Arabidopsis thaliana: one gene and its partners. The protein of the gene in region 1 interacts with the protein of each later gene in a pairwise test. Each region holds a gene or a part of one and is shown on either strand. Other genes may lie near its edges. The genes, in order: AT1G76185, ABCI14 and AT5G49130.

Evidence for each region.
Region 2: the proteins of AT1G76185 (region 1) and ABCI14 interact in a protein complementation assay, tested with the Arabidopsis thaliana proteins (one large-scale study listed by BioGRID).
Region 3: the proteins of AT1G76185 (region 1) and AT5G49130 interact in a protein complementation assay, tested with the Arabidopsis thaliana proteins (one large-scale study listed by BioGRID).

The regions. Positions count from the first base shown.
Region 1 is NC_003070.9:28,588,220-28,591,978, reverse strand, and holds AT1G76185 (NADH-ubiquinone oxidoreductase chain), read right to left. Parts: upstream 1,655-3,759; 5' UTR 1,483-1,654; coding exon 1,370-1,482; intron 1,030-1,369; coding exon 822-1,029; 3' UTR 448-821; downstream 1-447.
Region 2 is NC_003070.9:6,844,501-6,848,259, forward strand, and holds ABCI14 (trigalactosyldiacylglycerol 1), read left to right. Parts: upstream 1-1,837; 5' UTR 1,838-1,970; exon of another isoform or gene 1,971-2,042; 5' UTR 2,043-2,128; exon of another isoform or gene 2,129-2,230; 5' UTR 2,231-2,311; coding exon 2,312-2,358; intron 2,359-2,448; coding exon 2,449-3,454; 3' UTR 3,455-3,622; downstream 3,623-3,759. UniProt on the Arabidopsis thaliana protein: Required during embryogenesis. Permease involved in lipid transfer from the endoplasmic reticulum (ER) to plastids, and necessary for thylakoids formation.
Region 3 is NC_003076.8:19,914,071-19,917,829, reverse strand, and holds the start of AT5G49130 (MATE efflux family protein), read right to left. Parts: upstream 1,959-3,759; 5' UTR 1,927-1,958; coding exon 1,861-1,926; exon of another isoform or gene 1,748-1,860; coding exon 305-1,747; 3' UTR 1-304.

The DNA of each region.
Region 1 (3,759 bases):
CAAATATCTAGAGATTTTCGATCTTTCTAATTATTTCCGTTTCAAAACATGAATTACGACTAAATGCAATTATCTTGGTTACTAACACACTTGTTTTTGTCATTGTCATTAATGAACTTTGACAAAGCTATATCACCATGTAGACAGTATCTCATTATTTGGAAATTAAGTTAATCAAATCAAGCTAAGCTAGTGTATTGACAGACCATAACATTACAAATAATACTAACTATTACCACTTTTTCTTTAACAAGATACTAAAGTAGTTGCAGAGCGCAAAGGTAATGATAGAAACATGTGAGCGTTTCGAGCAAGTTGCTTGCTACTTTTCATTTTATAGTTCTCTCTTCTACTTTCATGAGTGTTCGTTGTTTTTCTTTTTCTCGTCACATGAAAATCCTGCAAATCATTTTTTAAAAACTTTTTACAGCCAACAAATCTAAATCACTTCATCATGATATTAAGTGTAACATAGATAGATGGAAAAACTATCTTTAATCACAAAACGCTCAAGTTAACAATCCGTGATCGTGCCTAGGAAAAATAAAGCAACCTCCCATACTACTTTATACAGGAAAACAACCTTTACAGCACTTTTGTTCTGATTTGTCTAAGCTAAGCCTTGAAATTGCAGTCCCTGGTTTCATATCTCAAGTTCAGGTCGATTCTTCAAAGGACAAAAGCGATGCGTCCCAGAGTCAGTCTGAGCTTAGCTGTCATCTTCATCAATGCATATGGGCACAAAACTCATGCCAGAGAAGAGTTGTGGTTTGGTTGTGTGAGAAGATAAACGGTTCGCAACAGCTCAATGGTTTCGGTCTTTACATAGAGAGAGGAAGAAGCATCCTTCGCTTCTTCTTCCTAGCATGTCTCACTTGCTTTGTGATTTTCATACAGAGGAGTAATAGTAAGGTGACACAAAGCAGGATAAAAGCAAGTTGCAACCGCCTGAAGTACAAGGATACAGCTGAAAACACCACGAGTGCTAACATCACTAGTTCCCATATGACAAAGACTACAACATCAACCCTGAATCAAAAGCAAACGAAACGAATAGCATAAGTACCACTATAGAATGTTCATTGTCAAAATTTAACAATAGAATCCAGATTGCAACAGAGTCGATAAGAATGAAAAGTGTATGTCAAATTGTCAAAGATGGTTCAACGTGGACAAGTCAAAATTATAGTTCCTTGTGTAGGATTCACATAGATATCCAATGTTCAACGACAATCCCTTAAAAGATGAGAAATTTACGGTTCCAATTGAATTAAATATCACAAAGTACAATTTTTCAAATACAACTCTAAGCACGCAGCTCCAAATCACAGCAGATTAAAAAGGAAAGGATAAGCCGGAGATCTCTAACCTGGAGGAAGAGAAATTGGAGGTGGAAGAGAAGAAAGAAACGGAGGCCCAATCATGCTTTGATCTAATCTGATATTCCCTGAGCTGTTCTGCTAGATTCGATCTTGTTATCATCGCTTCTTCTCCACCAAGTCCCGATCACAGTCCCGATTCGACGAAGAGCTCAAGAAGCGTTTGAGAATCACGAGATGTAGGAAAAATCTATCACCAACATATAACTAGAATCTAGAAATCCAAAACAATGGAAAAACAAAATCTGTGAATTGGAAAATTTCGCATCAAAATTTTACAGCGACGAAACGGTGTCCGATTCGTTAGGAATTCGGCGAACGTTGCGTGGACTCTCTCGGTGTCAACAACCGGGTCGGGTTATAGATCCGATCTGGATTCTTAAGCCCATTTTATGGGTATTGGGCTTTTACCGTTACTCTTTTGTTTTGAGTTGTCATCATATATGAAAACTTTGTTCCGATGCCATGAAATTTGGGCTTTTAAGAATCATGAAAACTTTGTTCTAACAGAAATAGAAACATCAAAGAAAAAGAAATAAAACAGCGATGCATCGATTGATTCTCATGTCCCACCAAGTAAAGCGAGTGCTAAATATTGTTGAATATTCCTGATTTGACCACAATAAGGAAAATATCACGCCCATAAAACTCAGACGGGCGGTGAAAAAGAAGAAATCGACAGAAGAACAAACGCATGACGTTCATTACTTAGCACTAATCTGAAACTTTCGAATTATAGTATTTGATCCATATGTATTCTACGTTTTTCAGAAAACTTTGTTCAGATATCTCAAACTTTCGAATTAATTAATATTATTTTAAAATCTATAGTTTAGTTGTGAATTCTAAGTGTCGGCTACAATTTGTCGGTTCGCTATCACCGAAAACATTATCCAAAGAATAAGTTAAGAGCTGAGCTTCGGTGTATATGACAACAAGAACCAAAAAGACGAATAAGTTAGTATTGAAAAAGATAGGTTTGTTTGATATGTGTGTTGATACGTCACGGTTCGTGCTACGTCTTTGTTAAATTTAGAGACCAGAGATTACTGATGTGGCACGTCGGTTCATTTTTTTTATTTTAGGCGAATTTTAAGAGATGATGCATTTACCGATTACCATCTGTCCTTCATTAATATTTTTAGTATATCTTTTTCAATAGGTCGAAAATGACATCCCACACATTAACATATTAATTCATAAGAAATCCAAGTCATCTTATGCTCATTTGTCTACTCATGATTTCATTATCTACATCTAAGTTTATCTTTAAAAACTGCATGAAAACATAACCATTTACGTTGAAAAAATACATACACAAACCCTTTTCCCATAAACGAGATTACGAAAGATTGTTTTATGTGCCCCAAAAATGGTAAACAAAAGATGATGCTAACTTTCTATTCGTTCTAAAATCTAAATCTTTAGTTTTAGTTTGTTTATGTCCACGATCATTTCTTTGATAATACTTTTGGCGGATTCACAAGCGCAAATTACCCGTCTTATTGTAGCATTAGGACTAAAAATGAGATCCGGTAGCATTGCAACAACACCTTCCTAATCGATTGAGCCAATCGGACTTATATTACTTGTTGGATTTGTTTTTTTTTTTGTTTAGAGTATCCAAGATCATGTATTTACAATTTCAAAGATCATGCGTTACTAGATTGGCCTCTTCAACATGTTTAGTGAATAATAAGTTAAAATAACACCTAATCGTTGAGGATTCATAGCGTGATAAGAATTAAATAACCAAGTTCTTATTGGTTTGTTTGTATTTTGTAACGCATAGAATAGAAGAAAGAAAAAATAAGGAACGTTATAAATTTCTAAAAAATCATCATTTCTTCTCGAACAAGCTTGTTCCAGCGTGGCACTAGTCAATAAGTCAAGTGGACCCACGTAACCGACATCACGTCTTTTACGCCAATCAGTACATACTATTGGGTCCTACAAAAGGACAACTTCCCATGTTATATTGACACGTTTTAAGATGTAATTGATTAATCTAAATTTCTCTCTGACTCTTTTCTTTGTCTACATCCGACGTTCCATTTCTGACTATGAGCTCCGTCGTCCGATTTGCGCTAATGCTTGACACGTGTCTTCCAATCTATGGTGCATTAAATTGTTAATCCTTTCAAAATCTGTAATCCATTTTTGGAATTTGCAAGATGGTTCCTATATTTGTGAATATATATATATATATAAGAAAGCCCGAAACTTTAAGAACAATAATTTATAGGGACATCCCATTCTTTAAAATCTCTTTTGCGTTGTCAAAAATAAATTATTTTTGCTTTCAGAGGAAATGAAAAAACATTTTTGCTTATTCCATATTATTCTTACTCTATTTAAAGTTTGAATCAGTTTTCTTTAA
Region 2 (3,759 bases), about 22 Mb from region 1:
TGTTAAGATATAGTTTTTGTTTTATTCAAACACCGTTAGTTAAACTTGAAAGCATGCATGCTAATGTTTGGGATTCGATCCTATGCGAGAGATCAATCTTAAGAGAGGTTAAACTTCACATTCAATAATGTACCGGGAATGGAGACTTCAAGAATCATCGGCTTGATAGACCACTAATAAAAAAATGACAAAAACTAGAACATCCAAATATATGTCGTTCGAAAATGTAATTCCGTAGCTAGCTTATACAATTCTATACACAGAAGATATTTCGAATATAGACACATATAAGATGTTGCGGTAATGCAATTTTAAGTGTAGTTGGACATGGATTGGTGAGAAAAGTAAAGTGAAAAAAAGAAATAATTAAGGAAGAGGGGGCTATAGCTCTGAAACCCTAGACGAAAGCAACACTGCATTGCCAATAGTAGAAACAGTGCGATCACGAGATTCAACTCATTCCTACTTTCTTACTTCTTAGTATCCACTCCACTTGTAGTACTAGCTAGCTCCCTGCCACGTGGTCCTCTCCTCTTCTTTTAGCTTTATGGGCCTTGTAAAGCCCGCGGGCCCCATCTGCCCATCCCATGCACATGCATCACATTATGCTTTCTCTCTATCTACGAAATTACGAATATAAGTATACGTATAGAACACTTTTTACAATAACCAAGGGTCAAAGTTTTCTCGAGTCGGAGGATATGAACTAAATAGTACATTGTCTACCAGCGAAGCTTGAACATGAGATCTTGAGACACATTTCCTTTGGAAGGTACTGAATTGAGTGTTCATAGCGGTTCAAGGAACTCGATTAATTTAAAATACCTGAATTACCATTTTTTTGGGGATTCGTTGTGCTTTTTTAATCAATCTACCGGAAATGAAGACAAGTTTTGCTAAAAACGTAACACTTGAATATTGTAAATTTGTAACATAAAACTCTAAAACCTTAACAAATTAATACCTCTAATTAAAATAGAATACTCATAAAAATATAAAATGTAAAAGATACAAATATTGAATATCTTCTAATATAATTCTAAGATGCGAAAGATATAGTAGTCGAATTAAAGCAACCAATTTCAGCGTTTCCTTAAACTTATATTTCCAAAATATCATCTAGGACAGTTTGTTTTTTTTAAGAATCGAGACCCTCTACTAAACTCTTGCATTCAATTTGGTAGAATCACGTTTTGTGTAGGAGAGAAGTAGTGCTTTTGGTTTGTAGTGTAGAGTAGGGTAAACGTGAGTATATAAAACGTAGAGAGGCATATATTATACAGAGAGTGTGCTTTTAAAGAACGGACCGGCTGAAGAAAAAGATAACGTTGTTGTCTCCGTAAAGGTTACCAAGTATCACTGTCACGTGACCACCACCATTCCTCTTTTCACATCTTTCTCCTTTCGATATTGGTTATATTATAGTTAAGTTAGCATTTAGTTAAATTTACTATATATTAGTAAGCAATGAAGGGGATATTAGTACAAATCTGGACATGAAATGTAGGCCTTTATTTGATTGATTGTCTTGGTATAAACATTTCATATAATAGCTTTGTAGATTTATACAACCAATTAAATAATTAACACTTTACATATACAGAATAACATAAAATGTTTAGATCATATATTTTGTCATTTTGGATCAATAGAGAAAAACACTCATTGTTATTTTCTTATTTATACTTTTCTGTATCAGTCTATGTGTAAAGTACAAGTGGACCTGCCGTGAATGGCATAGAGCCCACGCTTTACTTGTAAAAGTATATTGGGCTTTACGGCCCACGGACCAATTTATGTTTTGCCATTGGTTTTTTTTTTGTTTGTTTTGTTGGGAGTTAAACCCACACATCTTCTTCGCAACTGTTAGTTGTGTGTGTTGTTGTTGTTGGCACTGTGCCACTTTCTCTCTCGATGAACCCTCTCAAGCAAGCTTCTTCGATCTTCCGAGCTTAGTTTCGTTTCTAAATGTAAGTTTTCAAGTTTTTGTTTCAGTAAGAAGATTGATAGACCTAATTATTTGTTCCCCTTCTATATAGTAGAGATTTCACCTAGATTGGTCCGTACATATCTTATACTGGGATTCGAATTTGGCTGCCTCAGAGTCAGAGATTGATTAATTGATCAGGTCACCGGAAACTTTTTGTCTCGATTTGGATCTCTTATGCAAAATCTGTTGTGTCCTAATTCTATTTGATTGTAAATCAATTTGATTCTGGGTTTATTACAGATTCAGCTGTTGAAATCGTGCTTATTGCTACAAATTGAGAGGCACTAAATCAGTGAGGTCGTAAAGAAGAAGGCAACCACAATGATGCAGACTTGTTGTATCCATCAATCGTTTTGTTTCCCTCATAGGTATTTTGTGTTGCCATAAGTTTATAAGCTTTCTCATTTGCTTCATTGTCAGAATATGTTATTTTGGATTCTTGAATATTAATTTTGCAGAGTCTTTCCACGGTTTGATGCTTCGATTGGTATTAAGCCCCCAAAGCTTTGTCAAGTTGGTTTCATTGGAAAGACTCAATCTTATGGGATTTCAAGTCCGATACGGCAAAGAAGATTATATGTGAATTTGAATGCTAATGATGGTCACCCATCCATGTCTATGTTGGAAGAAGAAACCTCTACTGAAAACAACGCACCCAGTCAAGAAGCCGAGCTTCCGTTCAGCAAATGGTCACCTTCTAAGTACATATGGAGAGGTTTATCAGTTCCTATTATAGCAGGACAAGTCGTTCTCCGGATTTTAAAGGGTAAGATTCACTGGAGAAACACTCTTCAACAGCTGGAGAGAACCGGACCGAAATCTCTAGGAGTTTGTCTTCTGACTTCTACATTTGTTGGTATGGCTTTCACAATCCAGTTCGTTAGAGAATTCACTAGACTAGGTCTAAACAGATCCATTGGAGGTGTCTTGGCTTTAGCCTTCTCTAGAGAGCTAAGTCCAGTCATCACATCGATTGTTGTTGCTGGACGAATGGGAAGTGCATTTGCAGCTGAACTAGGGACAATGCAAGTCTCAGAGCAAACTGATACACTCCGTGTTTTAGGAGCTGACCCAATTGATTATCTAATCACTCCAAGAGTCATCGCCTCGTGTTTGGCTCTACCGTTTCTGACACTCATGTGTTTCACTGTTGGTATGGCTTCAAGCGCTCTGCTCTCTGATGCAGTTTACGGGATCAGCATTAACATAATCATGGACTCGGCTCACCGAGCACTTAGACCATGGGACATTGTGAGTGCCATGATTAAATCTCAAGTCTTTGGAGCTATAATATCGGTAATTAGTTGTTCTTGGGGAGTAACCACTACTGGAGGTGCTAAAGGTGTTGGAGAATCTACAACTTCTGCTGTCGTCATGTCTCTTGTCGGAATCTTCATCGCGGACTTTGTGCTTTCTTCCTTCTTCTTTCAAGGTGCTGGAGATTCTTTGAAGAACTGTGTTTGACATATTATTTTCTGTCTTCTTTTGTTGTGGTTTAGATGGGTTTATGTAAATCAGTTGTCTTAAATTGAGAAAGTAACATCATTTTAGAAAGAACAGAAAGATTGCTATATTTCTATTCCAATAATGATACACATTGAATAATCTTGAACTATATAGTTCATCGGAAAATTTGCAATCAGTATGGGCGGAGTTAAAATGTTATGCTATGAACTTATGACATAACATCTTATTTGACCAAGCAGATATAACATGGTAAAACCAAACTAGCTTACTTGACCAATAATCCAAAAAAAATAAGCATGAAG
Region 3 (3,759 bases), on another chromosome or scaffold:
AATTAGCTCTTGTTTTTCCATGTGGTTCGGTATCTCTATATACACTCATGCACCCAATATATATTACACGTCATGGTCATTAGCCATCGCATCCATATAAGTCTTCATCATCCAATCCACGATTCCACTCCCTTCAATAATGCAAAATCTTCAACAGTTTTGTGTTTCATAAAGTTTTACATTCTGTCCTTGTCCAATGAAGACACTTACATAAATGTATAAGTTTTAAAACAAAAGCAAATCATTGAGACATAAATGGAGATAGTATATATGAAGAACAAAAAGAAAAGAGAAGGAAAAACTGTTAGTGTAGGCCTTCTTCGCATTTGACAATAATTTGATCGACATTAGGTGAAATGACGTTCTTGCCCACCAAGTCATGAGCCTTCAAGGACTCTTTGTTCCAATCTGTGTTATAAACAACGGTCAAAATGGAGATTGCACAAGCTAGCTGTGCCCCAAGCAAGCCATAGCATAGGCCCATGAAGCCTAAACCCCACACAAACGCTAAAACAACCGCCACTGGTGCTCCAACTACATAGAAGGCGTAGAAATTAATCTTGGCCCCTATACCTGGCCTCGCACTGCCACGTAAGATTCCACAGCTAATGGTCTGAGGACAGTTGGCAAGCTCACAAGCTCCAATCACCGGAATAACCGCCGCCGTCAGCTCGAGGACAACTTTGTCGGCGGTGAAAACTTTTCCCCAAGCTTCTCTCCCCACGGTGGTCCCCACAAGTCCAAACACTGACACTGCCACGGCGGCTCCGACAGCCACAGTCGCCGCTGTTTTTGCTTTCTCTGGCCGTCCTGCTCCTAACTCGTTGCTTACCCTCGTGGATACCGCGGCCGAGAGGGCCGTTGGGATTGTATACATCAATGAGGTTGTTTGTATCACGATGGCGGCTGCTGCTAGCGCCACCTTCGGCTCGGGGAGATATCCAGCGAGGACCGTCATGAACTCGTACCACCACCACTCCAAGCAAACCGCTATACAGCTCGGAACAGCGAATTTAACCAGCGTTGACCACACATCATTTTCACCGGAGTCTCTCGAACCATACAGCATCAACGGCGTATCAAGACAAAGAGACTTGGAAGTGGTTTTGTCGTTGTTGTTGTTTTCCAAGTAGATGTAGCAAAGGAGAAGCGACAAAGAGATGAAGTTGGTAAGAAAAGAAGAGACGGCGACTCCGGGAACTCCGAGAGAGATGTAAAACGTGAAGAAAGCAGTAATGGGAAGATGAAGAAGGACGGAGACTAACGTGCACCACATCAAAGGCCAAGTGGTGCCTTTACAACGTAAGTAAATACGTAAAGGATGAAGGAAACTATTAGCGAGAAGATCAGGCAAAGAGAAGGAACAATAGAGAGATGCGACACGAGTGATATCATGTTGTTGGCGGAGCATCAGCATTAGAGGCGCGAGGTTTAGCCAAAGGAGTGATATGGGAAGAGAAGCTAAGAGAAGGAGGAAGATGGTTCGCTTGAGGGTTAAGGAAGCGAGTGAAGGGTTTTTAGAACCGATGGCTTGACCACATAATGGTTCCATACCGGTGGCTAAACCAGAGAGGACGGAGTAACCGGTGATGTTGGTGAAACCGATGGCTAAGGCTCCTCCTGCGAGCTCAAGGCTACCGAGTCGTCCCATACACACGACGGATGTCATGTTCTTTAGGTAGTTTAATATGCTCATGGCGGCCACCGGAAAACTTATGTCCCAAATTCTCTTCAGCTCCTCCACCACCTTTTTAAATATTTTAAATAAAAAAATAATAATTATAAGAGAGGAGATATTTGAAAGACTCTATCTGAGGAAGAAGTTTACTAAGAATAGAAGTTTTAGATTTAATTTAGTACCTCGGGCATTGTCGGGTTGTACTTGTGTTGGAGATTTATGAGACGTGAATCTTCTTCGACCACCATTGTTAGTGTTTGTTTATTGAGATGAGAGATTTAAAAAATATGAAGAGAAGATGCCATTTTATAAAGAAATTTTATTTGTTTTGTTTTGTAACATGGAGTTGGGTTTGGCATGGTGGGGGTTCCCAAAATATTGATGTCATTATTTGTTATCCATTTTTCTTTGTGTGGACTCTAATATATACAAGTATAAATACAAACTAAGTATAGTTTGAGAAAAATATAGGATATTAAGTTCAAGATTTAATCGTATATCTCTTATACTATCAAAGTTCGAGATTTTTTTATTTTTTTATTATAGTACGACTCTCAATATCCTACATTTTTATTAAACAACATATTTCTTTATTTTTGGTCAGAATTAAACAAAAGAATGTATTGACCTAAAAGAAGTACGAATCCAAACCTGATTTTGTCGTACAAAAGCGTCACATAAACAAACGAAAGTATAGGCATGTGGAAATTTAAAACAACAAAAAAAAAAGAACAAAACTCAAATCAAATTTCTTCTCAAGATTCTGTTAGTACAAAGTTCCATTTATGATTATCTCTTTATTTAATCTTTGTTAAGAAAGTGAGTGTATATTTTCTTTGGTTATAAAAAAATCATGCATATAGGCAATCTAAATTAAACTAAAATAGTGTTCGGAACATACAATTGTTATCTAATCCATAGTAAATATGAATGCATCTCCGGTGAAACAGTATATATTTGGCCTAATAAATTTGTTAAGAAAGTGAGTGTATAGTTTCTTTGAGTATCGGAAAATCATATAGAGAATCTAAACTAGTGTTCGAACATACAATTGTTATCTTAAAAAATGCATTTACCATGAAATAATCTTTGTGTTGAAAAAATATTAACCAATAGATTACTAACACTTGATTTTAGATATCGAATTTGTATTTCTCCTGAGGAACTACTCTCTTTTTTTGTCCATGATAAAATGTAAGAAATTGAATATGTTAGTTATAAAGGCGTAAATATTATTATGAATATTTTTGAAACTTCGTGTGGTTTAAAAAGATGCATAGAACTAACAACAACCTTTCTAAAATAAAATGTGATAAAAGATATTTATGAAGCTCAAACTAACGATATTAGTAGAAAGTGATATGATTGGTCCATCAGTCTAGAAATGAAACTAGTTAGAATTAGGTATAGCGCAATGTGTTGTCTCCCTCTCACTGTAATTATCAACCCAAAATCGACTTGAAAATTATGTATACCTTTCCTTTAATTTTTTCCCTTTTCCTACTTATTCCCACTCCACTCCCTATAAACTAGTGACATTTTACATCTTGTCTCTGCTTACGTGGATAAATGATCATCATGACAATCGAAAACAATATATATATATATGTGTGTGTGAATTAGCTAGATAGCCCATGTGTGGTTTTAATAAAAATATGAGAAGTTTGATTACATATATTTTAACATTATAAACTACTGAAATACAAGATTGATGCTTTTTTTACCAGGATCTTATTTTATAAGTTCTATAGTGATGAATTATATCATATGAGTAGTGAATTTTTTTAATTTTCATATATTTAAATTATTATTGAAGTTATTTGGTTTATTTGATATATATATATATATATATATGCTAAATACACATATATAGAAATTGAGGAAAATGATTTTTAATTGAAAATACTATTATATATGTAAATCAGATTTTCATATCGATCGTTTTCATAGAATTTGCAAGCCGTTCCAATTGGTCGATATTTGGCCACAAGATATGATTTTCGCAGATGTATAAAATTTATACACATCTTCATACCGTCAATTTTCACACACATGAATCATGATTCATGCATGCTTTCATA